4 linked regions of the Lonchura striata genome follow. The protein of the gene in region 2 purifies or fractionates together with the protein of the main gene of each other region. This does not show direct contact. Links are inferred from orthologs where the notes say so. Each region holds a gene or a part of one and is shown on either strand. Other genes may lie near its edges. The genes, in order: EXOSC3, MPHOSPH6, EXOSC8 and EXOSC6.

Region 1 (7,831 bases), on a different chromosome or scaffold from region 2:
GCTAATGAAAGCTTCCAAAGACCCATTAGTCAGAAAATTCATGAACATAAACAGGGCTTGATAACCACAAAAGCGAGTCAAAACAAACTCCTTAAACAACACAGAATCAAGCTGAGTGGATAAAGAAGGGAAATGAAGACCAACCAAAATCGAGTACTTCATTTAAAAAAAGGCTTTTAATATATAAATCTGAATACAAAAATAACCAAAACACCCTACAGTCATCACAAACAATCCTCAAGGTTTTCTCTTATCAGTTCCCTGACAGTTTGGCAAGCGCTTGTTTTCTCTGTTGTGCAGTCATATACTCACAGGCTTCCAAAATATTTACTATAATTAAAGTCTGTTGCACTGTTTTAGCTTTTACCCATATTCTTCCATTCATTCCCAGCACCAGCTCAAATGGGTACAATTGTGACAACTCTTGAATTATTTCACATTTGGGAGCCAAGAGCCTGTGAACAAGACAAAAAAAAAGTCAGAGGAAGGAGTGATCATGCTTACAGAGACCACATTATTATTGACCAGTAGCTCCAGCAGTACTGCTATTATGGGAGCCATTTAAGAAACACTGAAAGATTATAAAGTTCTATATACATCCAACATAGCAATACAGTATCAGATTTTCAAGGCTCCTGGCATATAAAATGCATGCACCTAAAAAAATAAAGCCATTATAAATTTACTTTTGTCATTAGATTCAGAAGCAATCCCTGATAAGTTTAAAGTTAATTGATACTTTTACACACAATTCTATGAGCAAATAAATCTAAAAGTACACAATTTGACCAAATGACATTTTTGATGTGCTATTTATTTGACACCCCAGAGGTGTCTTTCAAAACAGGACTTCCCTTCTATTTCAGGAAACAGTATTAACAGCAATAAATAGCCTACTTCATTTTTATTAGATGACAACATACTAAATCCTGTAATGCGTCTAGAATTAAATCAAGATTAGACAAGTATTCACAAAAAATAAAAGCATACCAGTATTTAGCAGTTTACTTGTAATATGCTGTTATTTTTTTTACTTGTATACAGACAAAACTTGGAAAACAGAATGGCTGCAAGAAGCTTTTGTATCAGTTCATGCTGACTTCTAATAGGACATATAAATCAGACAATGCCAGGTATGAAAAAGCTGCTCTGCAGTGCCAGATTGCTTATCCAAAGAATGACAAAACAAACAAAAAACTCCACCCAAAAAGCAAAAACAAATTTTGACTATTGTTTATCCATGTAATCTGGTATACTTTAACAGTCACAAAAAAAAAAGTCATGTATTTACATCAGCATAAGCAACTCCAAAGTTCACAATACATTTAAAAGCTTATGAAACAGTTCCTGGATTTATGTGTCAGCCTTAAACTAAAATCCAACATTTTTAAAATCTGTATTTCAATGTTATTTATTTTTATTTGGAAGTCAGAAAATAATGTGTACTGATGTGCAAAGATCCCTTTAATCAGCTGTCAGCCAAACATACACCCTCTATTACCCCCACGAAACAGAACAAGGACAATAAGCATTGCCAAGTTTTAAACTCCAAGGTAATATGTACATAGCTGAAACACTATCCTGAATGTTTGACTACCCCAAGACACTACTTTTATTTTCCATACTGCCTTGGCATCCACATCACTATTTTTAAACAGGTGATGTAACACCATACAAAAGAGCTTCTAAGTCTCTTAAAAGAAAAAATAAACTTTTCTTCTAGATCAATCCATACTCTATTCAGTAAATCTGGTTTCAACGCACTACAAGAATCACACAGTCTGATTTACCAAACTGCCCACACTACTCAGAAGAAACAGCTGTGGTAATTTATACGTGAGAGTGACTAATTACATTTTTAGTACTTACTTTCTTATTAGACCTAAGGAAACTTTAAAGAGGAAGCCGTCTTGTCCAATTATTCCCATGCCACTTGATTTTCCACTGCTGTCTATACACACCATCTCTGGTTCCATGTCTTTATTTGCTACAACAAACTGACCATAAATAAGATCTCCCACCTAAACAAAACAGTGTCAAAGAACAAAAGTACAGGATTTTATCTCTTATAATCATTTAGCAGGACAACAATAAAAAATATCACACCGATTTTGTTTTTCTTTACAGTTTTACCTTTTACATTCTGGTAATGGCATTTCATGGGAGTGCAGAAACTATGGCATGCATGTGCAACACAACCATTCATAACAGCGCTGTTAAAAGAACCCACACAACTAATATTTTCTACCAGCATCACGTTTTAAAACCCTAACATCGGAGCGCCCTTTCGGAGGCACCTTATGAACTGCATCTGCTCCTGGCAAACCAACACATGAGAGTGAAGCACCCAGCCAGCTGAGAGAGAACAAACCACGCTAGTTACGGTCCTAAAAAACCCCAGAGAGGCCGCGGCCAGTGGTGCAAAACGCTCTGAGGAGGACCAAGGCGAAACCATTAGAACCAGACCTCCCCTAACTTCCCCTAAGAAAAGCCACTGGAACGCGACACGGGCGCCACCAAAGGACGCAGCTGAAGCGTCACCGGCAGCGAAGCAGGGCACCCACCTGCACGTTCGGCCTGTTCCTCTTCGTGGCACCTTCGAAGGCCAGGTAGGACAGGGACGCGGGCTCGCTGCCGCCCACGTCCAGCCGGAACACGTCCCCCGCTTTGGCCGTCACGATCCCGATGACGTGGTCGCCCTTCACCGGCACGTACTGCAGCGGGCGAGGGGGACAGAGGGTCAGGGGAGCGCGGGCTAACACACAGACACACAGACACACACACAGACACACGGACCCTACCCGCTTCTGCTGCGAGTCCACCCAGAAGGCGCCGCCGCCCGCGGGCCGGTGCCGCAGCAGCCCGCACTTGGTCACCAGCAGCCCGGCCCCGCTGCGCCGCAGCCCCGGCCCGCACAGCAGCCGCCCCTGCGGCGCCGTGCCCGCGCTCAGCCGCAGCCGCTCGCCCTCCGCGTCCTCGTCGTAGTGCGCGGGCAGCAGCAGCAGGTCCCCGGGCAGCACCACCTGCCCCACCAGCGCCTCGGCCGGCGCGCCGCGCTCCGCCGCCATGGCCGCGCCTCGGGCCGGGGCGGCGGCTGCGCCCTGCGCCCCGCGCCCTGCGCGGAGCGGCCGCGGCGCGCCAGCGACACCGCCCGGCCGGTCCCCGAGCTGCAGCCGGCCCCGCGCCGCTCACGGCGCCTCCGCCAGCCGCCTGCCTTTCCTGCGGGAAGCAGCCCGCCTTCCAGTTCTGCCGGGGGGCGGCCAAGGTGATGTTCATTTCGCACTTACGCGTCGGAATTAATAAACACACGGAGCTAATTCTTCCAGCTGCAGTTACAAGGGTTTTGAATACCCGATTAGAAGTTGACAGCAAAACAAACAGCTGGTAAATATGAGGTGACCGTCAGCCGATGAGTTTGGCAGGGAGCAAAAAAGATCACATCAGTTGTGAAGGGAAACTGCTCACAGACAGATGGTATTAAAACAGTTGGAAAGGATCACAATGGGTCATCTGGCCCATCCTCCCTGCTTTAAGCAGGGTCATCCTAGAGCACGTTGCACAGAACTGCATCTAGACAGTTTTCAGTATCTCTAGATAGAGTCCACAACCTCTCTGGGCAATCCGTTCCAGTGTGTGGTCACCTGCACAAAGTAAAGTTCTGCCTCCTGTTTAAATGGAGCTTCCTATGCATCAGTTTCTGCCCATTCCTTGGTGTCCTAGTGGTTGGCACCACGAAGCAGAGCTTGGCACCTCCCCTTTAGATATTTATACATATTAATAAGGTCCTCTATCAAGCATCTCTTCTCAAGGCTGAGCAGGCTCAGCTCTCTCTTTCCTTATAAGAGATGCCCAAGTCTCTTAATGATCTTCATAGCTCTCTGCTGGACCCACTCCAGATCTTCATGTCTCTCTGTCCCTGCGGAGCCCAGAACTGGACACAGCACTCCAGGCAGAACCTCAGCAGACGGGCAGATTCACTTCCCTTGACATGCTAGCAGTGCTTTTCCTAATGCACCCGGGGGTACCATTGGCCTTCTTGGCAACAAGGGCACTGCTGCAAGACCTTGTTGTCCATCAGATCCTCCTCCACAGAGCTGCTCCCCAGCAGATTACCCCCAGCACTTGGGATTATTCCTCCCCACGTGCAATACCCTGCATTTGCCATAGCTGAATTTCAGTTTCTTCTCTGCTCATTCAACTCCATTTTTTTCAAGTCTCTCTCAAGGGCCACAAAACCCTCTGAGGTCTCGGCCTCTCCTCCCGGTTTTGTGCCCTCGGGGACCTTTCCGGCCAGGCCCTTCACCCCTCCGTCCGCTCCTGCGGGCGGCGCTGGGGCCGCTGCGCTGCCGCCGCTGTTGCGGAGCAACCCCGCGCGCTGGTAGGAGCGGAGCGGGGCCGGGCCGGGCCGGGGGCTGCAGCCCCGGCGCTCCGGGAGCTGCTGTCCGAGGGAAGGCGGGCGGCTACAGCAGAGCGGAGCAGGCAGCACCGGCTGCCGGGGACTGGCGGAGTGTGAGGGAGGCGGGTAACGGGCTCCGCGCCCCGGGGCAGGGCTGAGGAGCCCGGGCAGGGGGGCGTGGGCGGCGGCTCCGGGTTACGAGGGTGGGCACACTAAGGCCACCTGGAGCCCCCGTGAACGCGGAGGATGGGCTGTAGTCACTGTGTCAATTCATTGCCTGGGCTCTCTGCCCTGGCACGTTTTCAGCCCCCTTGGCAGCAAAGGACGGCTCCTGTGTACTTAGACTGGGCTGGTGGAGTGTGTGCAGAGATCTGTGCCTTTCGTAACTGTAGAGCGTTCAGACCCTCGCCTTGCACACATCTCTTAAAGATAGCTTTGACAGTTCAAACTAAAATTACCCTTAATTGTCCTCAGAGTTAGTTGCCTGTTCTCTGCATAGAAGTTTTTAATGTCCTGTTGTGCTTTTCAATGTTGTTTTTTTTGTTTTGTTTTGGTTTGGTTTGGTTTTTTTGTTTTGTTTTGTTTTTTTTTGTTTTTTGTTATCATGCAGCCCTAGAATTAGCAGTGTGTTTCCAAGTACTTTATGAATTATACATGTCCAAACAATAAGGTGGGGTTTAAGCATTTTTTTTTTCTGCAGTGATTGTTATAACTGAGCTGTCACTGGCGCCTTTAAGAGCTAAATTACTGCTAAATAACTTTCTTGTATAAATTGAAGGCTTAGTAAAAAGTATTGTCATAATCAGTGTTTGGCACCTGAAGCAAGAGTTCTTAGAGCCCCTAACTTAATTCTAACATTGATGTCTAATGTCTGTCTGTTTATTGTCAGTAGATTTGGATGGAGTCTCAGTATCTGAAGCAATGCCTGGGAAATTGTTTGAAGAAGGGACTGGCAGAGGTTGTAGAGCATCGGCCAGCAGATCCAATAGAGTATCTTGCACACTGGATTTACAATTACAGAAGAAACTTAGATGAAGAAAAAAAGGTAGATCTAACTTAGGCAAAAAAAAAAAAAAAAAAAAAAAGAAAAAAAAAAAGATTGCTACAATATAGTTGATGCTATTTAATATATCTTTCATTTTTATGTTTAATTGATTCTGTGTTACATCTGAAATAGAGAATGCTGGAGAGAGCTGAGATAGAGCAAGAACGGGAGGCAGCCCTAGCAGAACTTGAAAGGTTAAAAATCCAGGAAGAAGAGCAGCGGAAACTTGAAGAACAACGTCAGGTTATTAATAATAGATAACTCCAAGCAGCATATGGTGCTGTGGCATCTTGGAGCTCTTTGTATACTTCTAATAGCTATATAATGATTTTGATAAAGGTGGCATAAAGCAAGTATTTCAATCTCACTTTTCTGAGTAACTAAAATTATTAGTCAGCACATGGGTAGGAAAAGTTACATACTATGGAGTAAAATGTTATTAAAAAATGATGGCTGTTAAGTTAAAAGGCAGCCAATTTAGGAGTTACGTGAGAAGTAACTGAAAATACTGTTTGGGCTTACAGTATCAGAAGTAAATACAATATCTGTGTTTTTAGCCATTCTTTGTAAAGGAATCATATGAACTCAGTGTTGACATAGTGATGTTGGTGTGACCTGACTGGTTTTCTTGTATGGATGACTTTCATAAAGTTAAAATCAAAAGCTTAATTTTAAATTTATGCTGATCACATTATGCCCAGCTCTAGTGTAAGATGCATTCATTTTATTTCGTTTGCAGTTTTAAAATTTGGCCTTTAGTAATTTACAAACTAAGAGTAATGTGCTTAAGGGTTTCATGAGTGATATAAAATAGTAAATGAAAATAAAGAGATTGTGTCCAGAGATAATTCACTGAGAATTATACTCACATTAGATACATTTTTTTTTTAACCTAACTCAGTTTTGGCTGTAGTCAAATATTGAGGTAAATTTTGCTTTTATGTACCATAAAGGAATAGAAAATTATGACCATAATTGTAACTACTCACAGAATGCAAGAGCAAATAGTATTTGCTAAGGTTGTTGAATGTAAATACTTAGATTATGCAGTTTCTGAAGTTTGGATGTGATAGGACTTATGTTCACAATTAATAAACACTTCCCGTTAGATATTTCCAGTTGTAAGTACTAAAGGTTGCTGATGGACATGATTAATGCTAATGACATTGCTTGCCAAATTTTTCTATAGATTTGATTCTATATTGATTCATCCATCTGTGCTAGGTGCTACACAAAGTATCAAAGAGCTTAATCCAAAGGATAGGAGATAACTAATACAGATTGATAAAGAGCTTGTGTAATGAGACAGGATCTGAAGTGTGTACACTAACTTCACTTAACTGCTTTATCTTCCTCTTGGTAGTAAAGCCTCTTTATCCATAAGAGTCTCAAACCTTTGAAAATGTCAAACCAGATGATACTGAAAGGACTTTATTATTTGCATAACATAGCAGTTATGTTTTATGTTTACTTTTTTATTTCAATATTAAATACTTTGTAAACAATGAGGTGAAAAAGATAAATGTGGGGCTTGTTTCCTTTATAATTTGTCCTTTCTTAAACTGATTGCAGGCTCAATTGGAGAAAGAACTTGCAGAGTTGGAAGCACAGAAAAAAGAAGCTGAAATGCAGTTGCAGCAGGAAGATCAAGAGGTTTGACCAATGCTTACTTGGTGGTTTGAAAATACCATTTATCAGTCATTTTTCCAGAAGCAGACATCAAATACAAAACACAAAGCAGAACCCATGGGTGTTGAACTAACACATAAATAAAGAAACAGGAGTGTAGGTAGATGGGGGAAATGTCTTAACGTGGCTTCAGCAGTCTGAGTTTTATACTTGAATTTTGGTCACAACAGAACATAAATTTACTGCAAAAATCCAGTATAAGGTCAGCTTACCTGATGCTTCCACATTTCTTGATGGTATTGAAAGTTTTTTAAAATAAGAATGTCTAATTTAAGTACCAACACAGTAATATTTTACAGGGGGTTAGCACAAAATCCATTTACTATACCTGGAAAAAGAGCTGTGGTTTGAAATTGCAATGCATCTGGATTCTGATTTCTTAGTGGTGTATGGGAATTTGTACCAACAGAAGAGTGTGTATACACTTATCCGTGTTTATGGTCTTTTAATGCTGCTTCAGTAAAAACATACATGGATAATTGGCATGCTTATCTCCATAAAGCTTTAAAAACTCTGCAGAGCACAGAGTATTTTAGGAACCTAAGTTTTTAGAAAGCTGTTAAAATACTGGCAAAACACAACTGTAGGAAGATGAGTATATGAAAGTGACAGAAAAGATGAATATGTGAAAATCTTAAATTGCTTTTAATTAAAAAAAACCAAAAAACAGGGTTAAGCATACCAAGACCATGTTCCTGTAC
Region 2 (7,322 bases):
AAGTCTGCTGTTTTTTTCTAATACAAGGACACTCCTGTCACTTGCTTCCTTGGTGATAACCTCTGTCAAAGGATGGGAACAGACAGGTAAAACAGTAACCTCTCAACAGCTGGGAGTAGAAGAAGACATCTGTCACAGCCTATAAAAAACTGCTGAGAGCACAGAACTACAGACCTGAGACCTGTGAAACAGCATTTTAATTTCCATTTGTCTCAAGTCAGGTGCCTGAACTGAGTGACAATTAAGTCTAAACAATGTCAATGAAATATGCTGGGAAAAAACATGACTCTTCAAAATTTTATGGTGATAATCCATATAATCCCACCCTCCTGGAAGTTGAGACCTCCCTGAGGATCTACAGAAAGTGGTTGTATAACTGTACCTGTCAGAGGTCTACATTTATACCAACCTAACTCCCAGACAGTGGCAAGTCTAACAATACAGTTCACACACAGTCCTTTAAGAATACATAGGTGGTACAGGTGTGCAATGTATTATGAACAACCCACATGTATTTTCAGTCTTTACAAAATGCCCAACCAAAACAAACTCAGAAGTACGAGCCAACAGAGCTAGTGATTTATTTTCCATTTCTATTTCTATTTGCATCCACTGTACAAGATCTTTAATGAAAGAAAAATTGACTTCTGTTTTCTGAGTCGATTCAGAATATGTCAAAGCTTTCCAATTAAAATTACAGTATCTTCTTGAGGAAAATAAGTGAATCTATCATGTGGAAAAACATACTGCTCGAGGAAATTGGTTAGCCAGTCAGAAACCTCAACACAAGAAATTCTGCTACAAGAACCCAATTAAATAATCATTTCACACTCCATTTTAAAGATTATGTTGCCAAAGATTACTACAGGAAAAACCTAGATAAAAATTATGTGATCAGGTTTCTCTCTAATGTAAACACACACTGATGAATTAAAAATATACCCGCTGTGGTAGGCACGGAATATATAAGTCAGTATCTGAGGAGCTGTTTGGGTGTATTTCCCCAAGCTATGAGACCTGGACCAAATGGTACAAGATCTAAAGTCTGTGTCCATTTGTCTCCAGTATTTATTGCAAATGGTCCTTCCAACACCACCAACCACATGTCACCTCTGGGTGCCACATGGTAATACATTGGATCACTACCTGCAGAGGCAGCTGCTAAAGGCTTAATTAAAACATTTGTAAACAGGAAGATCTGCAGAAACAAAGTGCTAAATGCAAGATCTGTGTATGACCTTTTCAAAACCTACTGATCTCTTCAAAGCTGGTTATCACTGCCTTGACTGTGAACCTGCAAATGTCATGGCAGCATATGCACATGGCTGGTTCTCCATGGCCTTCCAGAGAAAAACAATAAAAAAACCCTGCTTTTGAAATCTCCAGGGGGTTAGTATAGTGGCAAAAAACAAAGAAAAATTTCATTTTAAAGGAGTATTATATAAAAACAAGAAAAAAATAATGATGTTGCCATCCAGGTTATGGGAGTCTGACTGACCGTGTCACATATTGCTGGCTGACTCAAGTTCAACATCTACTCCCTTTTGAAAGCGAGGCAAGATGTATTTTATTCCTTCTGTGTACAAGTTTTAGATTTAGAAGTATCTATTAATTAGGGTAAATATTCCATCATCCAACTGTAGCAGCGTGCACTTTATGTGAAAAATTGAACTGAAGCCAGCTAACTCTTTTTTCAGCCAGAATGTGAAATATAGGCCCATATAAATACGTAGGGAAAAAATGGCTAAATAAAACACCACAAGCAAGAAGCCACGAAGGCCCCATCATGTTCAGTTAAAAAATTGAATATTAACATTAAAAAAAAAGTACTCAACTTTTTCTGGTTGTTTTCCAGCAATAAAGGACCATCAATCAGAGAATGTACTCTACTGAATTAGGAGTTGTAGTACATGGTGTGAAGCACAATGCATTAGCCAGTGAGCAGAGACTAATTTCACACTGGTGACATGAAATTCACAATACCAAGGGCAATAAGCACATCGGGATGTTACTAAGATCCCTGGCATTTATGAGTTGGGAAAGCTGGTAAATACTGGATATTAATCCCCATTCAGGCTGGGATTTCCTTAGCCAGCAAGGTAAAAATGCTCACACCAAAACCTAAACTTCTTTTCCCTCAATACTAAAAGCCCCACGCAAAGCAAGCAGCATTGATACCTTTATTTCAAAGTGCTGTTGAAATATTTTTATCTAAACCCACAACAACCAACCCAGAGGCAGAAGAGCAAGGTGGAACGAAGAACTCCCAGAAGATGCGCTGGAGCTGGCCCTGGAGCCCAGACTTTTTCTGGCACCAGCGATGTCTTTGCCGGGGCAGCAGCCCGAGATAACACATGGATGACCACATCTGTATTCAGCGCCTGGCTGAGGAGAGCCAGGGCTCCAAGTGTGGCCGGGATGGGCACGGGAATGCCCCACACCAGGGCTCCAAGTGTGGCTGGGATGGGCACGGAAATGCCCCACACCAGGGCTCCAAGTGTGGCCGGGATGGGCACAGGAATGCCCCACACCAGGGCTCCGTGTGTGGCCGGGGATGGGCACGGAAATGCCCCACACCAGGGCTCCGTGTGTGGCCGGGGATGGGCACGGGAATGCCCCACACCAGAGCTCCAAGTGTGGCCGGGATGGGCACGGGAATGCCCCACATCAGGGCTCCGTGTGGGGCCGGGATGGGCACGGGAATGCCCCACACCAGGGCTCCAAGTGTGGCCGGGGTTGGGCACGGGAATGCCCCACACCGGGGCTCCGCACCCCGGCCGCGCCTCACGGCGCCGGGCCCCGCTCGCCACGGGTGCCGGCACGGCTCGGCCTGCCCCTGCTGCCCTCCGGGCCGCCGCTTCCAGCCCTCCCCTCCTTCCCCCGTCACCTTCATGCGCAGCAGGTTCTTGGACAGCTTGGTTTTCACCTCCCCGGCCATGGCGGCCCGCAGGCCGCGGCGGATCCCCGCGCTCGCGTAGCGCCGAGGCCGCGCACGCCGCGGGAGGAGCGGGGCGCGGCGGCGGCGGGCTCCGCCCTCCGGCCGCGGGCACGGGCCGCCTCCCTGCCCACGGCCCGGGAGCCGCCGGGGCCGGGGGGTGCGCTGCTGGTGCGAAACCAGCGGTAGAAATAAACTTTACGGCTGTGCGGGCTGGGGGATGTGAAAAATGCATATTTTATGATTGGCTTTTCGCAAATATTACTATATGTGTAATGTTAGAAAGTTATGCTGTATTAATTCTCTTAAGTAGCGTGTTAAATATAGTTTTAGGTTCCAACATAATGTTAAAATAGAGACTGTATGTGGGGGGAATTTTTTCTTTTAGCAATGAGATACTTCATTTAACACCTAAATCTTCCAGAGAAAAGGAATTTATGGTTTTCTTATCAGAAGAAGCTAATTTCTTCAGGCCTTGCTCAGACTCGAAGACGCCTTGGGGATTATAGGAAACAGTTGACATACAACAGACAGAGTTCTTGTTTTAAATAGAATGTATGCATAACCAGGAAGGTTATATGAATATGCAACAGGCTATTGATTTTAAGGTTATTCCTTTGCTCACAAAGGATGCTTTTCCTGACTTAGTGTCCGAGAGCATCTGGACGTCCATAATTCTTTGTTTTTTATTGTCTTGTAATTGTCCTAACTCTAAACTTTATTACTCTAATTGTATTACTATTTTTATAACCATTTTATTATTATTAAACTTTTAAAATTTTAACAACGAAATGATTGGTGTTTTTCACAGGGAGATCGGGGGTGTGAGCAGGACATAATTCCGCTCTGGTATGACATGGTAAATCAGTATGTGAACATGCCTTATCCATGCTTGTGTGTTGTGTAGTACTGCTGATGCTTCATCCATAATTTTCTGATATTTCAAAAAGAGTATAAAATTCTTCCCACACTGGTATTTGGAGACTGCTTGACTTTATAGGCGTTTATTTTTTTACAATCAGCACTGACTTTTATTAAAAAGAAAATCACAAAACAGTCAGATGTGATTAAAACTGGAAAACACACAAATTGAAAGATATTACAAAAAGTCTCAAAGCTTTGTTAGTCCTGAATCATGATTTGTGAATTCAGTGTAGGCAGCGCTGGTGTTGGACTGCCCTGCTGGGCATGGGGAGCTGAGGAGGAAATTCTGATAGGGAATTGCCAGCTGACTCCCAGTCAGAAGCATGTACCACAATTTTTCTATATATCCTCATAAATCAGATTTCTGATGCCTGTTTTGACATTTGGCACATAAACTGGGTGATAAAGCAATAAGAGTGAGGGTTCAGCATTCAAAACTTTAATGAACTGGTGTGCTCCCAAAGACAATTTAGGGAGAAAAGTTCCCGTATATGCAAGATGTAGGTCAAAGCTTGAAGAACTCTGTAAAGATTTATGCTCTAATAGACTCTACAGAAAGGTATAATGAAGGACAAAACCTGATTGCAGTGGGAAAGGAGGGAGAATTATCCACATCCAGGCATCCTTATTACACATTTAAGCTCAGTGGACTAAAATGACACAAATGCCAATGAAACATGGAGCCACAAATGCTTCAAGGCAAAGTCATAACACTGCGTGAAAATATTTAATTTTCATGTAGGGAAGGCACCTTCACTCCCAGGCTCTGTAAATGAGTTGAAGCTGCTCTGAAGTTCAAGGCCCCAGTGAGAAAGTCACATTGTGAGTGTGGCAGCTGTGCTGTTTGGCTCCTTCTCTGTTCCCTTTCCCATTAACAGCTATCGTCCCTTCCCAACAAAAGAAAGCTGGGAAGAAATTTGCCATTTTCTGAATACAAATGTTCATCAAAGAATGAATATGTTTGAATCTTAGTGAGCAAACCAATAGGGGAAAGCTGTTAATTAATGTAGTGGCACAGTACAGCCAGAATCTGTCATTTTTGGTTGTATGTTCTATTTGCCATGCATTTTAATAATGCATTTACTTTTTGTTGTTCATTGCAAATCAGAGCCCTGTGTTAAATTGCATGACCTTCAACGTCAGGGCTTTTCTGAGCAGTTGCAGTCCATTTACAGTCCGGGAATGTACTTTGAATGATTTCTTCTAAATACTGTGCTCTCCTCAGCACTTCTGCAGCCATTGCGCTGTGGTAGAGCCTGGCTTTGCTTGGTGGCCTTTTCAAGAGCTGTTTCTGTCCCTCCATCCTGCAGAACATCCCAGCTCAACAATTCCTCAGCAGACTCTGCTCACAGCCTGTTTGGGATTTGGGCATTGCACACCACAGTTCCTCTCTACCTTTCTTGAGAAGGAGCATCCTGCCCCCAAATTCTCTGGGAGCTGCATTCTGATAATTTACATCACCATGCAATGTCTAACTGGGATGGGGGGAGTGCAAGGGGTTTTCACCTTATCTAACCATGAAGATTATTCCTGGTGCTCCCTGGTCCCCACTGCACCCCGTGTCTTGGTGCTGCACCCCAGGCTTGCACAGAGTTTCTGTCACTGTCTGTTGGCACATCAGCTAAAAACCTGCCTCGATACAGGCAGGGAGAAGCATTTTGCAGTAAAAGCAGTATAGGTTCTGTGATGTTTATTTAGAAAAGTGGAGACTGTAAAAAGGCTGCCAAAGAATGTGATCTATTTTGGCAGTAAAAAAGCCCAAAGGAAATTTTTGGGTTGCATCTCCCATCACTTGAATTGGATGGGGAGGTTATAGATAACAATCAGCTGCCTTTTGGACCAGATTATGCTGTCTGGTAAATGTGAAGACAGTCCATTGATTGCAGGAGAAATTTTTATGATTTACTGGTAGTTATGGAGGTAACTCAGAGAAGAATCCAGCCCTGTAAACACACCTGCTTGTGGAGTGAGGGTGAGAAGAGTTGGGAGAGAAAAATAATCTCTCTATGTTTAGAGAAGAGACAAGGGTCATTGTAAATGACAATTAGATGCTCTCCCACAGCTGAGTGCTGCACAGCAGCTCCATTTTCAACCTGGAAACCAATTTCTTTTTCAAAACAAAAATACTCGGGAAATAACTTGGGGGAAAGGAGTTCCATCTCATCAAAGATTGTACATTAAACAAGCAGATAAAAGATTTTTCTTCCTAGGAAATGTGGTCTCTTCTCCCTCTAGTAATTACAAAAGTCAAATCAAAGTTGTCATTAACATTATTTAAGGAGTAATCTCTCTTGGAGCAACACATGTGGCAGCTGTGAAGTAATTTCATGCCAATGGGATCTAATTTGAGGGAACTCATGGCTTACTTTTTCCATAACTTTTTATTTATTATTATTTTATTACTGTAGTAGTGTGTCACTATAGGACACGTGAAAGTATGAATAGCAGCAAGCTGCTGCTATTGTAAAGGTAACAAAGAGGAGGTTTTATTTCTGACTTTAACATTTATGTTTTTCTAAAGGTGACACTGGATTGGAGGGTGAACATACTACCTCACCAATGACACTGGATAAACTACTAGTACATCAAATATCTCTGCCTCTATGAAGGAATGTAAAACAATAGGTTATTTACAGAAAATTGGTGAGAAAGTTTTTTACAAGAATGTAAACTCAGAAGGCTTATAAAATCTTAAAAATCAGGGATACAGTAGTGTGATTTTAGCGTTAAATGGGTATCTCAAACCTTACAGCAATCCATCAGTTGATTTGATTTGATTTCTTATGAGCTGTCTTTGAATTCCGAGGCAGCTTTTTACAGCTCTCAGAATACCTGAAGCCTTCTTCCCCTCCTTGCAAATATCAAAATTCTTGAAGTATGACAGGGGAATCATTAATTTGTGTCAAACTCCTCCACTGTGTTTTAAGTAAGGACATTATGTGTTTTTCTCTATGAATGAGGAGAAGAAATTGAGAAGTGGAGCTGCTGGAGATCTGTTTGCAAACCTGAAAGGAAGGCGTGAAGCGCTGCGTGTGGCTGGGTGTGACTGGGAAAGCAGTTTTGTCCCCTGTGCTGCACGGAGAGAGTGGCAGTGGTGCCATTTTCATGTGGAGGACTCGTTTTTTATCTCTCCTACTCCCACCCTGCTCTGAGCCGCTAATGCATCTGGTGCATGGATGTCGGAATCTGAGGTATTGATGATTCCGAGATTGTAAAAAGTCTCTCTCTTTCATTGCCAAAGAAGTCATAATTCATCTGTGCTGGTTTAAAGGTTGTTTATTCTGTTTATCTCTAACATATCTGCTGCCCTGCCCAGCTCTGTCCTGCAGGGCAGCGTGTGGGGCTCTGCCCTCAGTGGGATGTGACAAACATTAAATACCAGAAACTCCCTGGGCTGGATTTACAAGAACGTGCCAATATCTGTCACCTACGTTGGACAGTGTGTCCCCAGCCTGAACCAACA
Region 3 (7,702 bases), on a different chromosome or scaffold from region 2:
TTCAAGCATTTTTTTTCCACTTTGAATTCTTGTATTAAAAAAAGTCTTTGGTGTTGATCTTTCTGGAAAGACAACACTGCTACCAAGATCTAAAATAAACTTACTTTGAAAAAAATTTTTGCTTTAATTTATAGAATCTGTACTCAGTTTTTGCCTGATCCATTTGTTAATGCATTGAATTCAAAATGTCAGTCAGCACAGCTCTATCTTCTGCATATTTGGGCACAGGTACTTCAAACAGAGAAGGAGATGAAAGTATTAATTACCGTCCTGACTGCTCCCCCTTTCCCTCGATTTTTTTCCAAAGATATCACTCGCACTTTGTCACTTCCATATTTCTTGCAGTACTCCTTTGCAACCTGACAGATACACAAAAAGCCAGCATAAAACAAAACTAGGAACCAAGGGACAAGTGTACATTTGCTCACCCTTCAAAAGAAAATAAATTAATAGCACAGAGCTATAACCACTTCAGTCGGCACAAATACATTGCCAGTGTTCGCTGGAGCCTGTTTGGGAAAATAAAAAACAGTCCACGGTTAAAACAAGAAGACTGAAGAAATGAAGTAATGTTCATTAAGAACAGGATATTTCCCGAAGCAATTCAACCCCCATCCTCCCACCTCTATGAAACTCAATCCTAATTTAATTTATATCATACTATTACAGATCTTTTCTATTAACACCAATAGTTCATAAAAGAAATACAATTTTCTATGACAGCCATCTATTTCTCACTTGTCTTGCTGCTATTTGTGGTTTTGAAGAAAAATTCATGTTGATCTAAAGCCATATTCACACTGCAAGGATCTGAACATTTTGGTATATGTTGTGGGGAAGAGAAAGCTTGAGTTTTCTCCTAATTTTTTCTAAAGGTTGTCTTGAGGTCTTTTATGTCCAGAGGGCTGCAGCCATTGTATGCTCAATTGAAAGAGATAGTAGAAAGAATGCACAGCAGTCAAAATTATATACCAGCAATTCTTAAAGCAATATACATTTTAGTCTCTACCTCAAACATCTTCCAAGCAGTAGGAAAGAAAACCCACAAGCTGGCTAGCCTTCCTTGCCAGTAACATAGATCAAAATTGAAGCAGAAGAATACAGAACTATTTTTTTTTACAGAAAATACTAATACTAGCACATGGTTTTTTAAATTAACAATCCCAAAAAGGGTGTGGGAAAGAACTGTGTCACTTGTTCTGTCACAGTATGAATGAGACATTTTAAAAGTCTTTTTAGCTTCCTCAAATTCCTATTCACATCATCACTATGCACATGTAGAGTATTTCAAGTGAAATTTCTTGAAGTTAGGATTAGAATTCTTAGAACCACAGCTGCAGGAAAATGGCTGTCACAGCTGCCAATCAAGAAAACTAGAATTTGCAGAAGAATTGTATGTGCATTCATGTGCATATGTGCCATCCATGATGCAATGACAGAGATAATTCAGATATGTGAACTTCAACTGTCAACTATTTCAAGTACCAAAATATAAATATAAACCACTGTTATATTCCACAAAGATACAAAAATCCAAACAAAATTCCACGCCTCTGATTGCTTGGGAAGACATTACTTTTTCTTACCTTTGCAGTTTGATCTTTACTACCATCATTAACCACTATCACTTCATAAGTGAATGAAGGATCTTGTTTCTTGAAAATAAAAGCAGAAATAATGCATTTCATCCAATTTCTTAAGTAGGCAGTAGGTCTTTCAAACATCATTATTCTTTTCTCCCTACCACAAATTCATAGTTGCCAACAGATACTAATATGATGCAGTAAATTTGGTAAGATGGCATAGCTACAGAATTTTGCCATATTTGATGCAGGTACTGTAACATTGGCTTGTCATGCTACCATCTAGAACTGAAAAATCAACTTAGCAGTAGAAGATGGAAGCTCAGAAAAACATAACTTTTAAAAAAACCTAAACAAAACAAAATCCACAAACTTTTACAATGAGCTTCTTACCCAGGGAACAAATTCTATTGAAGAACAGATGCTTAAGAAACTTGTTGGAACAAACCAGGACGTAGTTTAGAAAGTTAAATGCATGGTTAATCCTTAGCTCTGTCTTGGGCAGATTTCATGTATATGAAGATTGTTTCATCCTATAGTAGCATACTAAATTTTTACTTAATTTAAAAATCCTTTCTGGCACTTGATCTAAAAATTACTGATAAGAGACAGAAGCATTATTTCTAAGTGGCCAAGTACTACTGTTTTAATGTACACTAATATAACAAAGTGACTAGATTACCAACTTGTTATATATAATACACAGGAAAATAATGAATTTTGAATGCAAAAAGAAAATACCTGTCTTTTTTCTAGATAATCCAAAGCTTCATCCATCATAAGTGGTACTAGAGAAAAGGTGGAGGAAGTCAGGTTAGTAGATTGTAACACCAAAAGCACCTGCACAAGCAAGCTGAAAATAGCCACAAAGCAAGACTGAGCAAATCAACTCTTTCATACAACACTACCTTCAGTAAACAAGCTTAGCAGCTGCAACTCTAAGTGCTGTCCTTTCTGAATGCAGAAAGAACACTGAAGAAAATCACACACGTGATAAAAAGAAAGCATAAAAACTTTTATTCTGAGGAACCAACTTTATATTTTAAAGTATATAATTCTCTGCACAACATTAAAGGAAAAAAAAAATAATTCTTTATGACTGACACTGCAAAGCACCACTGACTATCTATTTAAACAAGCTGTCAGCTTGTGTACTGCCACATCAGCTTTAGAGCTTGATTATTTCTATCACATCTAAAAGCCTTCACTCAGTATCAGGTACTCCTATCTATGGCCAAGTCAAACACAAACCCCTGAGACCATCCCTTTTTCTGCTTGTCTGAAGCTGCTGTAGTTGTTTAAAGAGTGGGAAAATCTCAATTTAAAAGTATTTTACTACTTCTTGCCTTGCAGCATGTGCAGAGGCAATGAACAGCCATTCTTCTGGGGTTCATTAAAATTAAGAGGATTCTTACAAGTGCTCCATGCTATTTTTAGCAGTAGAAATCAAGTTCCACTATGCCTTAATTTTGAAATTCAATGTACTTGGACTGTTTTCTGGAAACTGTGTCCAAAATCTGATACATAATCTGGTCTGCCAGAATCTACTGCTAATGCAACTGACCTCTGCATTATTACAGTAACAACAGATAGCTTTTCTTCTTTTCCTCAAAACTAGAAAAATCTTACACCGGTTTTCCTCATTGTATGAAGGCACAACGACAGAGAGTTCTCTTGTAGCAGGATCATGAATATTTGGTGCAGATCCTTTCCTGCACTCAGCATCTTCGTGTGGCATTGTTTTGGCAGTTACATGAGCGATTACACAAATCTGTGATGAAGAAGAAATGAAAAAAGTTGTCAAGCATTGTTAAAAGTTTATTTAGTTGTTAAATGTTCTACCAGGGGCAACTAAGTATATTTCAGTAATAAGGTGGGTCACTGTTGTGGAATTTCACACAGGACCAAAACTCTCTCATGCCGTTTGGTTACTCCCACTCTGACCACTGTCAGCATCATTGGCTTGCTGCTGTTTTTAACTGCAAAGCATGCAGATGCTTCCAAAGCTGTGGTCCGAGCTCCTTCCCCAAGTAACCTTGAGCACATAAGCAGGTGCCGCCTCTGATCCCCCACCACGCCACTGAAATCAATGGCAAAGCTGAAATCAACGACCAGACAGCCATGTGTGCTTGCAACACTAAGGCTCTGATTGCTTTATGCGTGGATAAAAAAAAGTGGTAGAACTTGGGTTCTGTAGCACTTTTACTTGGCGATACCACACACAGAATAACTTAGGTTGAAAAAGACCTCTGATATCACCGATGCCCCAACAACACCGTATCGATCAGACCAGTGCCAAGTCTAGTCTTTCCTTAAACACCTCCAGGGACGGTGCCTCCCCCACCTCCCTGGGCAGGATGCATACGTGGCACTGTGGACAGGCAACAGAATTTCGCTTTCCAGGGGCTCGACCTTCTTAATCTCGCACGACATTTCGGATACGCAGAAACACAGCAACTTCCCAAATGGTTAACGCGAAGGCGTTACCAGGACATTTCCCAACACGTAAGGTAAGGCTGAAATGCTCCGTCCTGGCCCCCTTTGCCAGGCACGGTAGCCCACGCCCCGCCGAAGCACATTCCCCGCACAACCCCCCGCAGAAGCGCAGCGCTGCCGGCTCCAGCCGCCCGGCCCGGCCGGCCCCACGGCCTGCGGGGCGCGGCAGGACCGCGGGACCCCGGGCGGGGCCGGACCGCGCTGCCCCGCGCCGGGGGGCGGCACGGGGCGGCCTCGCGCGCCGCCCCCGCCACGGAGCCCCCGGGCCCCCCGTGCGCGGCTCTCACCAGGACGAGCAGGAAAGCGGCGAGGGCCGCCAGCGCCAGCGCGGCTGCGGGCAGGGGCAGGGACGGGAGCGGCGGCAGCGCCATCGCCCGCGGCAGCCGCGGGGCCCCGGCGCGCCGCGACAGCGACGCGGAAGCGGCCGCGCCGCCCGCCGGGTGCCGCTGGGAGCCGCCGGCGCCCCCCGGCGGTCAGCGCCCGGCAGCGCCGCCGCCCCCATCGCCGCCGCCGCCGCCGGTCCGCCCGCGGAGGCGGCCGGGAGAGCGGGCCGCCAGGGGGCGCCACATCCGGGGCGGAGACGGCACCGCCATGGCGGCAGCGTTCAAGTAAGTGCTGGGCCCGGCGGCCGCGGTCCCGCCGGGCCCGCCCCGCGGGTCCCGCCGCACCCGGCGTCCCCACCGCCCCGGCCGCGCGGGGACCCCCGTGGGCTTTATCCGGCCTCCGCCCCGGCCGCGGGGGGACCCCCGTGGGCTTTATCCGGTCTCCGCCCCGGCCGCGCTGGGACCCCCGTGGGCTTTATCCGGTCTCGGGCCCGGCGCGTGCGGTCGGTGCCGCGGGGGCTGTGGAGCCCCGACGCTTGCGGGAAAAACTGAGCGAGCGGGGTTTGGCCAGCCGGGAAAAGACCCGGCAAAAAGCCCGAGCGGAGCTCGGTGAGGCCCGGAGCTGCCTGGTAGCAGAATTGCAGCCTGCGCCGAGGTGGATCCTTAGAGATCAGCGGGTCCAGCTCCTGGCCCGGTGCAGGATCCCCAGGAGTCACCGTGTGCCTGAAGCGCTATCCAAGCGCTTCTCGGACTCCGGCAGTTTTGGTGCTGTGCCCTGGGGAAGTTCCAGGTCCAGTGCCCAGACACCCTCTAGGCGACAAATGTTTTCCTACTGTCCGACCTAAACCTGCCCTTACACAGCTGATAGAATTATAAGGAAATTAACACGGTAAGGAATTCAATGACTTCCCATTTATAACTATTCGTTCTGGAATAGTAAAGTGGTTTGGGTCAGAGGGGATTTTCCCAGATCATCCAGTTCGAATCCCTCTGCCGTGGGCAGGGACACCTTTTGCTAGGGCCCCATCCAGCCTGGCCTTGAACACTTCCAGGCACGGGGCACCCACAGCTTCTCTGGGTAGTCTGTCCCAGCATCCTTGATTCTATTGTATGGCTTAAAAGCATCAAGCCAGGTTTAGCAAGTGCTGTTACCTGAACTGTAAAACAACAGACCTTCTGTTGGGTTTATAATCCAGTGGTACAGGACCAACACGTGTGGAGCCAGCAGGAGCCCATTCATGCTGGCCATTATGTTCGTGTTGCCTGTATCTTAGTTTGCATTTGGAAAACTTGCCTATTCCACTTTTTTTTCCACCCCTGTCCCAGAAGCACTGTTTTAACAAAACTGTGAATGCTTTGTTTAAATATTGGCAACATTTTTTTTAAAAGCTTTTTTTTTCCTTAATGATTCCCGCATAAAATACTAATGCACAAGTACTGTTACTAGTGTATGATTAGTAATAAGCATCAGTTATGTCTCATCTGAAGCACTGCATGAAGCATATTTTGTATTTTGTTAAAGATTCTAAGAAAAACTGAATAATTAAAAAAATCTATACAATTTTCTGCATCTGAATGCAGTCCTTGGACTTACAGATATTTCACACATTGTAGTAAAATTTTCATTTTTGCATTCCTTGAAAGGCAAAGTGTTTAATGACTCATTTGTCACTAAACACTTCTTTCGATTAGAGCTAATAGGATTACTGAAGTGAAAGCTAGCAATTTTTGTTAAGTGTATGTGCAGGCAGTTTCCTTATATGGAATGAACAATTTGGGACTGAACTTAGGAAAACATATTTTTTTTTTAGATTATTTTAAAATTTCCTCATTGTTCTTTAACTGTATTGGTAAGCAGCTTTGTCAAGCATCTTGATTTCCAGATTTTTTTTTTGTGCATCTTGCTTACTCAGGAGCTTACATTTGAAGTTCTCTTTCTATTTGTTCTAGAACTGTGGAACCATTGGAATATTACAGGAGGTTTTTGGTGAGTGAATCATGTATAAATTCCTTGTAGTGAATTTTTTCTTGCTTGTTTCTGCTCTTCTAACTTGTCTGTATGGAAATCTAAAGCTATGGAAATGGAAACTGAAAAAACTAAACCCAAAAAAAACTGTCTGAGCAGGCAAAAAACATCTGTGCTCTTCAGAATGTGTTTTTCTTTCCATCTATGGTGTTGATGCTTTTTCATCCTTGCTTCTTTTGGTCTTGAAAGGAGTTCAGTTTAATTTGACCAAGATGGTAATGCAGGTTTTTGCCTAGTACAAAATTATATCAAACCAGGTTTTTAGATGCTACAAAAATTAGTAACAGATACTATTACTGCTAACCATACAGCAGTAAATGTAACTGCAGAGGAAAACCACTTAGTTTTGTTACCTTAAATTAGTTCAGCTATTACTGAAGTTGTATTGACTTAGAAATGGATCCAGTGTTATTGCAAATTTTGGTTCTCATAATTGAGCCAAAAGTGTTTGCTTTTGAAAAGCTTGAAACTGTTGTGAGTGACAAGTCAGATCTAAAATGACGGAATATTGTTTCAGTTTCTAACATAAGGGTTATGTGCTGTACAGCTTCTGACTGATGGTGTTTGAATGCTGGATTTTCTAGTTTTCTTTAGTTCACTCTAATTTTAAGAGCTCCACTAAACAATGCAGGCAGGTAGAAACTTTCATTTTAAGTTTACCAGTGTGTGTTCATTCTTGGATAATGTTCTTAATCTAGCCTCCTGTAGTACCTACCCTTTAGACAATCAGTCTGTTGTTGTATTGTCTAAATAAATTTAAATTAATTTTAAAAATCAGGGTTTTTTTTTTGCACGTGTACAACCACAAACTATGTATCAGTTGATGAAAAGCCAACTAAAGTATGACTGAGTTTTCCCTAGCATTTTTGAGAAGACAACTTCATTTTTTATGAAGTTCTGTAGCAAAAATATTATTGTGTTATTTGATAAAATATGCTTTCTAATTTGAAATCTGTAATTTTTCTTTAGAAGGAGAACTGTCGGCCTGATGGAAGAGAGTTAGGTGAATTTCGGACAACCACTGTCAACATAGGCAAGTGCTTATGTGGAATAATCATAATGGGGGAGGTATTATTAATATCAGGTTATAGTGGTGATCTTAATGACTTACTAATTGGTTTTCTTCGTTCTTGCATTTGTAAACCAGGAAGAGGAAGGATTTTTCTTTACAGTTTCAATAAGGATGAAAAAGAGTATGTGGTACAATAATATCCTTGAGCATTGTTTCCAGTCCTGTTCCTGGGCTAACGTGCACAGTGTAATTAGTCAATTCT
Region 4 (6,682 bases), about 2.8 Mb from region 2:
CCAAAGAGTCCTGGTCACCCCTGTGCTCCCCAGTGTCCTGTTTCAGTTCCATGTCCCTCATTTCTCAGTTGCCCTTCTCTCACTGGCAGAATTGTGTTCTGTATTTCTAATTTGCTCTGGTAAAAGAGTGTATTGTATTGGAAAAAAAAAAAATTGTATTTCTTTTCTCTGATTATTTGACTCCAATGCAGTTTTTAAGCATCTGAAGTGCACAGTTTTGTACCCCATTTTATGTGCTGCCAGACACAACCCCCAGCTCTGAGGGCTTTCTCGGATGCTGCCTTTCCTACAGCTCAAGCCAGAGGTACGAGTGCAGCTCTGCCCTGTATCCCAATGGAAAATACCCAGAATATTCCCTACCAGCACACCATGGCGCAGCTTGGCAGACAAGACCACCTGCTCCACTCCATCCCCAGGAATAATCAGATTCCAAGGAAGCACCCAGCTCTCCCTGAACTCCTCAAGGACAGTGGGAGCAGAGGGGTTGACCCCGACTGTAGAAGTGCATCTTTCCATCTCTGCTCATGGCTAGCAGAGGCCTCAGGAAGGCCATGCGGGCAGAAGACTCATCAGAAAAAATACAATTTATTATTACGAAAAAATGAACAAAACACAACTCTGCCACCTGAAGCAGTGCCTGGGCAAGAAGTCCAAAGGTTGTGCAGTCCATGCCATTATATGGTTCCTGTCTGGTGCTGCCTGCACAGATGGATATGGTGGGGAGCCTGGAGTGAGGCTTTCAGCCTGGTGCTGTGACCAGCACAGGTGGAGATGTGGGGTCCCGAGTGCCAGCAATTGCTTGGAGGGAGGCCTTGGACAGGCTCTGGATGCTGAGGCAGTATGGAGGTTGTTCTTGGGGAGCTTCAGCAGCATGCAAGGCTGTTTGGGTCCTGTGGTGCCAGTTGAGAATGGTCTCCTGCAACACGAGTTGCACTCTGGGGTGCTCGGGCAGTGTGTGGGGGAAGCAGAGTCTCATGTCCTTGGGCCTCCAGCTGTGTGGGCAACACGAGGGGTCTCCAGCAGTGCAAAGGTTGGTTCGTCCAGTCTCCAGCAGCATGAGGCATGGATCAGGCTCGGTATGGGGCTTCACCAGCAGTTACAGCTAAACTTAACAAACTTTTAAGATTCTAGAAGTAACTTATTTTAGTCCCGAACAGCGGTGTGTGGATCAAGCAGGCACCAGGCGTCCCGGCAGCACTGAAAGCAGCTTGGGCGGGCTCTGGGAGATGCCCACCCGCAGACCGGGGCACGCAGGTCTCACGGGCACTCAGGCACTGGTGGCGGCAGCGGCGGCGGCGGCGTCGCGGCGCTGGGCGGCCCGCAGCAGGCTCTGCCGCAGCACCGGGTACTGCCGGTGGCAGCCATCGAGCCCGAGCCGCAGGGCCTGCGCCCAGTCCTCGGGCGGGCCGCCCCGGCCGCCGCCCAGCACGGCCGACACCTGGTTGAGCGCGGGCAGCAGGGCCAGCGTGAGGCGGGCGGCGGCGCGGCGCTCCTCGGGCTCGGCGGGCTGCAGCATCCAGGCGGCGGCGGGCGCGGCCGGCAGGCACAGCGCGCAGCCCACGGCCAGGTCGTACATCTCCACGCCCGCGTCCGCCAGCGCCAGCGCGGCGGCGCTGACGGCGGCGGCCAGCGCCGAGCCGCCGTCCTGCAGCAGCAGCGCGCTGACGGCCAGGCGGGCCCGCGGGTAGCGGCCCAGCCGCACCGCCGGCTCCAGCGCCTCCCGCAGCGCCGCCGCCGCCTCCCGCTCCGCCTCCCGCTCCGCCGCCGCGCCCGGCCGGCTCCGCGCCCCGCGCCCCGCGAACGGCGCCCGGCGGAACTCGCAGAGCAGCCGGCCCGGGCCGGGCTCGGCCGCCTCCCGCGGGCCCCAGGCGGCGCAGAGCACCTTGGTGCCGCTGCCCAGCTCCACGTAGGCCGAGCCCTGCGCCTGGCTCAGCAGCCCGGCCCGCGCGAACAGCGGCCGGAGCGCACAGGGGTCCCGCGGCGCCGCGCCCTCCCCGTCCTCCTCATCCTCGGCCGCGGCCGCTGCCCACAGCGCCGGCGGCTGCGACTCCTCGGGGCCGCGCAGGCGGCGGTGATCCAGCGGCATGTTCGGCGGCACGCCGGGAGACGGCGGCGGGGCGGGCCCGGGCGGGAGGCGGGCACAAGCCGTGACTGGCAGCGGGATCCCACCCCAGCCCAGCCCGCCCCGCCTGCAGAGCCGGGGAGCAGAGCGCGGGGCAGGGAGCCTTTATTACAGCAAAGCCGCGCAGGGGACAGGGAGGGAGGGAGACAAAGGGACCGGGGTTCTCCCCTCAGTCAGTTCTTCAGCTCCCCCAGGCGGAGCCTGGCAAAGTCCGTGGCCAGTTTCAGGGCTTCCTGCAGGCAGCCCACATTCTTGCCTGTTGCCTGTGCAGAGATGTCCTTTCCACCGCCTTTTCCGTCCATCAAGCCAGACACTTCCTGCACCCACTGGCTGGCCTTCAGGCCCTTATTTGCAGTCTCCTGAGCAGGAAAAGAAACCCAGCAGTCAGCACTGAACAGCGATCACCCTGCCCCATGCCTACCACCCCATTAAGTCCTGACTCTTCCCCTTCCCTGTTTGCAGAGCATAACCTCTCTTCCCTCACTTCAGCAGCCTGAAAAGGCTCTGGGTCTTGCCAAACCCCAATCAAATTGGGCAGCGTAACGTTCCTGCCTGGAGGCTGCAGCTCCTCCACAGAGGCTCAGAGAGAGGCAGGCACACAGTCTTGGCATTACCTGGGGTACTTGACACAGGCAGGTGATCCTGCCAGCTTCATTATCCACAGCAAAGAGCATAGCAGCAGTCTGGGGGGAATTAGTCTTGAAGAGTTTCAGAGATTCATTCAGGGCCTGGAGGAGAACAAAATCATTATATGACTGCCTCTCTGTGCTTGCACCCAGCCCAGCTCCAGCCCCAACAGCACCCACAGAGACTTCAGGGATTAGGAATTGCATTAAACCAGCTAGCAGCACTCTGCAATGCTCGTCCTCCCAAACATCAGCCATTTTCATATTCCTGGCAACGTCAAAGCCTTGGCAGGGGACATAAACCCTGCCTGTGTACCCCAAGGCAGGAAGGAGAAAATGCTTTTATTTCCCCATCTTGAGACATACAGCAATTAGCAAAATGAGCTCCAGAATAAATCTTTGCCTGAGTGTACTGGCTGGAGGGAAAAAAGCTCTTCCCAGCAGAAGGGAACAGCTGTTCCAAAGGGAGTCAAGAGTACTCAAACGCAGTGTGAAGAGCCTGCAAGGGTTATCAGACACAGCAGGCAGGGAAGAATCAGGGAGACTGCCACACATTCTATTATTCTCAAGGAGACCATCATCCCTCACTCACACAGACAGCACGATGCAGCACAGAGCCCCAGGAATGGGTCCTATGGTGAGCAAAGCAGTGCTGCTCTGTGTGGATTGGGAACATGCAGCTCCCTGGGCTGCAGCACTGCCATCCCATGGGATGCACCCTTCTGCCAGGGAAAATGCTGCAACAGCACCCACTGGGAGCAGAAGCATGGGTATCATGGTGATGCTGGTGGCCACAGAGAGCGAGCAGGATCAGCTCCAAGACTCTCAGAAAGGAAATTTTAAAAGAGCATTAAGCCCAGAGTGGTCTAAGCCCAGGCACAACCAGCTCCCACTGCCTAGCACCTACTGGGCTCAGCACTGTGGCACAACACACACAGCAGAGCATTCATTCCAACAGAAATCACTTGGGAAAATACTTGTGTGTGGAGGAGGGAAGGAGCAGATTCAGCCCTGGCCAGGGGAGAACTTTAACTCAGCTGAGCAGACAGTGCTGGGGCAGCTCTCTGCTTGGCCCTGTCCACACTCAGCCCAGGACACCACGCCTGGAGCTGATCTGCGGGGGCCACAAGCATCACAACTTCCATGGCTTAGCAGAGCTGCTGCTCTCAGTCCCTTAAGTGCATTTCAGTGTCATGACTGCTGCAGGATGAGTCTTAGCTGGGACATAATAGGATTTCTGCTGGGCTCCCTATCTACCACCAGGTCTGGAAACTCAGCAAGTGGTTAAAACCTCACCACCCCAGCAAGTCCATGTGCCAGTCCAGGAGGTGGGACACAAGAGAAAATCCCAGGTCTCAGGGATGGCAGGTGGCAAGAGGGACAGCTCTGTAGAACTGAACCACATCCTCAAGTGATGACAGACCACTTAGCTGCTCCTCAGGCTGAAGGAAAGTTGCTGAGGACAGATCAGACTTTCCCATACCTTTGCTGAGGCTCCATTTTCCATTTCCATGATGACCCATGGCTGGTTAGGGTGACTCTCAATGACTTGCTTGGTCTTCTCCAGTACCTGAGGACAACAGTGGTCAGCCACTAAATCATCCACACTGTGTATAGAACCACCTGGGTGGAGCAGGGACAGAAGTCCCCAGGCTGCCCAAACACACCCAAAAGCCCAGCCTGGAGCAGCCTCACACTATAAAGCCAGGAGGAATGTACTCTGACAGGCAGGTATGTGGCCTGCAAGACAGCATGTCGAGCATGATTCCTCCTCCAGAAAACTCCAATGGGATCCAGGAGGAAACCTGCACCCAGGGCCACTGTTAGAGCAGGAACAGGCTGCTATGCTTCAACCCAGGGGATGGGCACAGAGGTAATTCTGCTTCAGGAGGCAGCAGGAGAAGCTGAAAGGCTGAACAGTTTGAGGGGCATGCCCATACATCAATTCTCTTCCATCCTGAACACTATCAGAGCTCCCAAAGGAGCCCCCCACAGGCCTCCCACCCTGTCCTTTATTCCAGCCCACAGCTCACTCTTTTCTGGATGTCGGCTTTGCTTGCTCGGTCCAGGTCATCCATGACCTTCTTCAGTGCTTTAACAGCCTCCCTCAGTTCATCTTTCTGCCACTGTGGGATAATAGCAGTGGCCAGAGCCTGCAAAACAGGAGCAGGTAGAGAAGGTTAAAGGTGCCAGCAATCATGGCAGGAGATGAAGCACCTCATAAACTCTGCCTCAGCTGGCAGAGCCCAGTAAGCTCCACTCCTCTCCCAGTGCCAGTGACCCGAGGAAAGAGGTGCTGGCTGCAGCACCCATGGGATGCAGGGCTGTTGGACAGGAGCAGAAGGTGAACTCAGGCCTCATTAATACCCAGTTCTGGCAATCAAGGTCCCTTTCACTTTGGGGAGGCAGAGTACTGCTACCATCCTCACCTCACCAAGATCTGTGATCTCCTTCTGCACGTCTTTGTTGGGAGCAGTCTGGACCTTCACCTTGGCCTCCAGGGCTGACAGCAACTTCCTGAGGCTGTCGACTTTCCTGAGGGCCTAGGAGGATACAATCTGAGTTAAATCAAGCTGGAAGATTGATCAGGCTGGGGTTTTGGTCACTCCAGTGTGAAGAGGTGAAGAATGCTGGAATGCCCCAGGATGGAGCTTAGTAACTCTCGGAAAGCCACTGGGCCAAAGCAGGCAGCATCTGACCAGAACCAGGGTGTGATGGTGGCACATGGGCCCCAGGTCTCTTTCCTTTGCCAGGATTGCCAAGATCCCCCCCCAAAGAGAAATAGTCTTCCCCATGAAACCCCTTTCTCCCACTTTAGGGAGCACCAGGCCACATCCAAAGTCATTGCCTCCTGCAGCACAGAACTGGATTCTCAGACTTCACCACTCTCCTGCTGGCCCTGCCAGCTGCTGAGAGCTCTACACCAGCAGCCACTCTGGAAAGCAACCTGAGCTAACCCTGGAGCCATCCCACACACCCACCCAGGTTTCTCTGCCACAACACCTACAGCTGAGACTTCCTTCTCTCTTCCCTGCTCCGACTGTAGTACAGCCAGTGTCTCCAGAACAGTCTTTGGCAACAGCAGCACCCTTTTCCATGAGTCCCTCAGAGGATATTGTGCAAATTTGAACAAAATGAACTTTGGCACAGGGTTAATAGGTGGAATTTCACAGAGGATCTCTCCTGCCTACCCTTACCTTCCGAGCTTCAGCCCCGGTGACTGCAACTATCCTCCGAATGCCTTTAGCAATTGCTTCTTCTGAAACAATCACAAAGGAGCCAGCATGGCTGGAGTTCTGCAAGTGCCTTTGGAAAGAACCCAGACAGACCCACAAGAAAGAGTTAGAAGTCCACTTCTCATCTCAGCAAGAATCAGCAAAGAAAAAATACAACCATCATGCCAAGGAAATGCAGCAGTGTGGGGACATACAGAAAAAACAACCAGTGCTGAAAGCAAATGAGTGAGGAAAGGGTGGTAAGACCTGTGTTCCCAGCACTGCCAGAGACCCTGTGTGAGGTCATGGGCAATACAGGCAGTTTCCTGCCTGCAAAAGGTAATTTTAAAGACTGATTGACTCAGGACTGGGAATGCAAAGACATCATCACTACCACCTCCATCTCTGCCCTGGCTCTGCCCAGTGAATGCTCATGACACTCCCAGGAGCTCAAGCTCCACAGGAACTCCTTTCAGCCACCCTGCCACCTTCCCCAGCCTTTCTAGGCACTCACGTCCCTCCGCAGAACTCAATAGAGGTGATGGAGCCCCCAGGGCCAGAGGGGTCAGCCAGCAGCTCCTCCACAGGGATGCCAATGGACACCACACGGACAGGATCGGGGTAAGTCTCGTCAAAAACTGCCCGAAGTCCTTGGATAGCTTTGGCTTCTGCAAGAGGGCAGTCCTTGGCATACACAGTCTGCAGAGCACAGCAAAGGG

Evidence for each region.
Region 1: the proteins of MPHOSPH6 (region 2) and EXOSC3 purify together in Homo sapiens (affinity purification with mass spectrometry; 6 studies listed by BioGRID and IntAct, counting the BioPlex papers as one, with this or other methods). This does not show direct contact. The link is inferred for Lonchura striata from reciprocal best matches to the Homo sapiens genes MPHOSPH6 and EXOSC3.
Region 3: the proteins of MPHOSPH6 (region 2) and EXOSC8 purify together in Homo sapiens (affinity purification with mass spectrometry; 4 studies listed by BioGRID and IntAct, counting the BioPlex papers as one, with this or other methods). This does not show direct contact. The link is inferred for Lonchura striata from reciprocal best matches to the Homo sapiens genes MPHOSPH6 and EXOSC8.
Region 4: the proteins of MPHOSPH6 (region 2) and EXOSC6 purify together in Homo sapiens (affinity purification with mass spectrometry; 3 studies listed by BioGRID and IntAct, with this or other methods). This does not show direct contact. The link is inferred for Lonchura striata from reciprocal best matches to the Homo sapiens genes MPHOSPH6 and EXOSC6.

What each region holds. Positions count from the first base shown.
Region 1 is NC_134609.1:7,919,308-7,927,138, forward strand, and holds EXOSC3 (exosome complex component RRP40), read right to left. Parts: upstream 3,083-7,831; 5' UTR 3,069-3,082; coding exon 2,802-3,068; intron 2,715-2,801; coding exon 2,565-2,714; exon of another isoform or gene 2,535-2,564; intron 2,022-2,534; coding exon 1,870-2,021; intron 456-1,869; coding exon 254-455; 3' UTR 158-253; downstream 1-157. Other genes in the region: DYDC1 (DPY30 domain-containing protein 1), read left to right, coding at 5,295-5,441, 5,574-5,684, 7,014-7,094. UniProt on the Homo sapiens protein: Non-catalytic component of the RNA exosome complex which has 3'->5' exoribonuclease activity and participates in a multitude of cellular RNA processing and degradation events.
Region 2 is NC_134615.1:19,495,120-19,502,441, forward strand, and holds the start of MPHOSPH6 (M-phase phosphoprotein 6), read right to left. Parts: upstream 3,014-7,322; 5' UTR 2,939-3,013; coding exon 2,888-2,938; intron 1-2,887. UniProt on the Homo sapiens protein: RNA-binding protein that associates with the RNA exosome complex. Involved in the 3'-processing of the 7S pre-RNA to the mature 5.8S rRNA and play a role in recruiting the RNA exosome complex to pre-rRNA; this function may include C1D.
Region 3 is NC_134604.1:65,417,974-65,425,675, reverse strand, and holds the start of EXOSC8 (exosome complex component RRP43), read left to right. Parts: upstream 1-4,650; 5' UTR 4,651-4,670; coding exon 4,671-4,687; intron 4,688-6,352; coding exon 6,353-6,389; intron 6,390-7,397; coding exon 7,398-7,461; intron 7,462-7,702. Other genes in the region: ALG5 (dolichyl-phosphate beta-glucosyltransferase), read right to left, coding at 267-359, 1,587-1,655, 2,325-2,371, 3,213-3,354, 4,367-4,450. UniProt on the Homo sapiens protein: Non-catalytic component of the RNA exosome complex which has 3'->5' exoribonuclease activity and participates in a multitude of cellular RNA processing and degradation events.
Region 4 is NC_134615.1:16,645,906-16,652,587, forward strand, and holds EXOSC6 (exosome complex component MTR3), read right to left. Parts: upstream 2,161-6,682; 5' UTR 2,087-2,160; coding exon 1,268-2,086; 3' UTR 570-1,267; downstream 1-569. Other genes in the region: AARS1 (alanine--tRNA ligase, cytoplasmic), read right to left, coding at 2,296-2,481, 2,737-2,850, 4,232-4,318, 4,782-4,901, 5,178-5,291, 5,946-6,054, 6,478-6,662. UniProt on the Homo sapiens protein: Non-catalytic component of the RNA exosome complex which has 3'->5' exoribonuclease activity and participates in a multitude of cellular RNA processing and degradation events.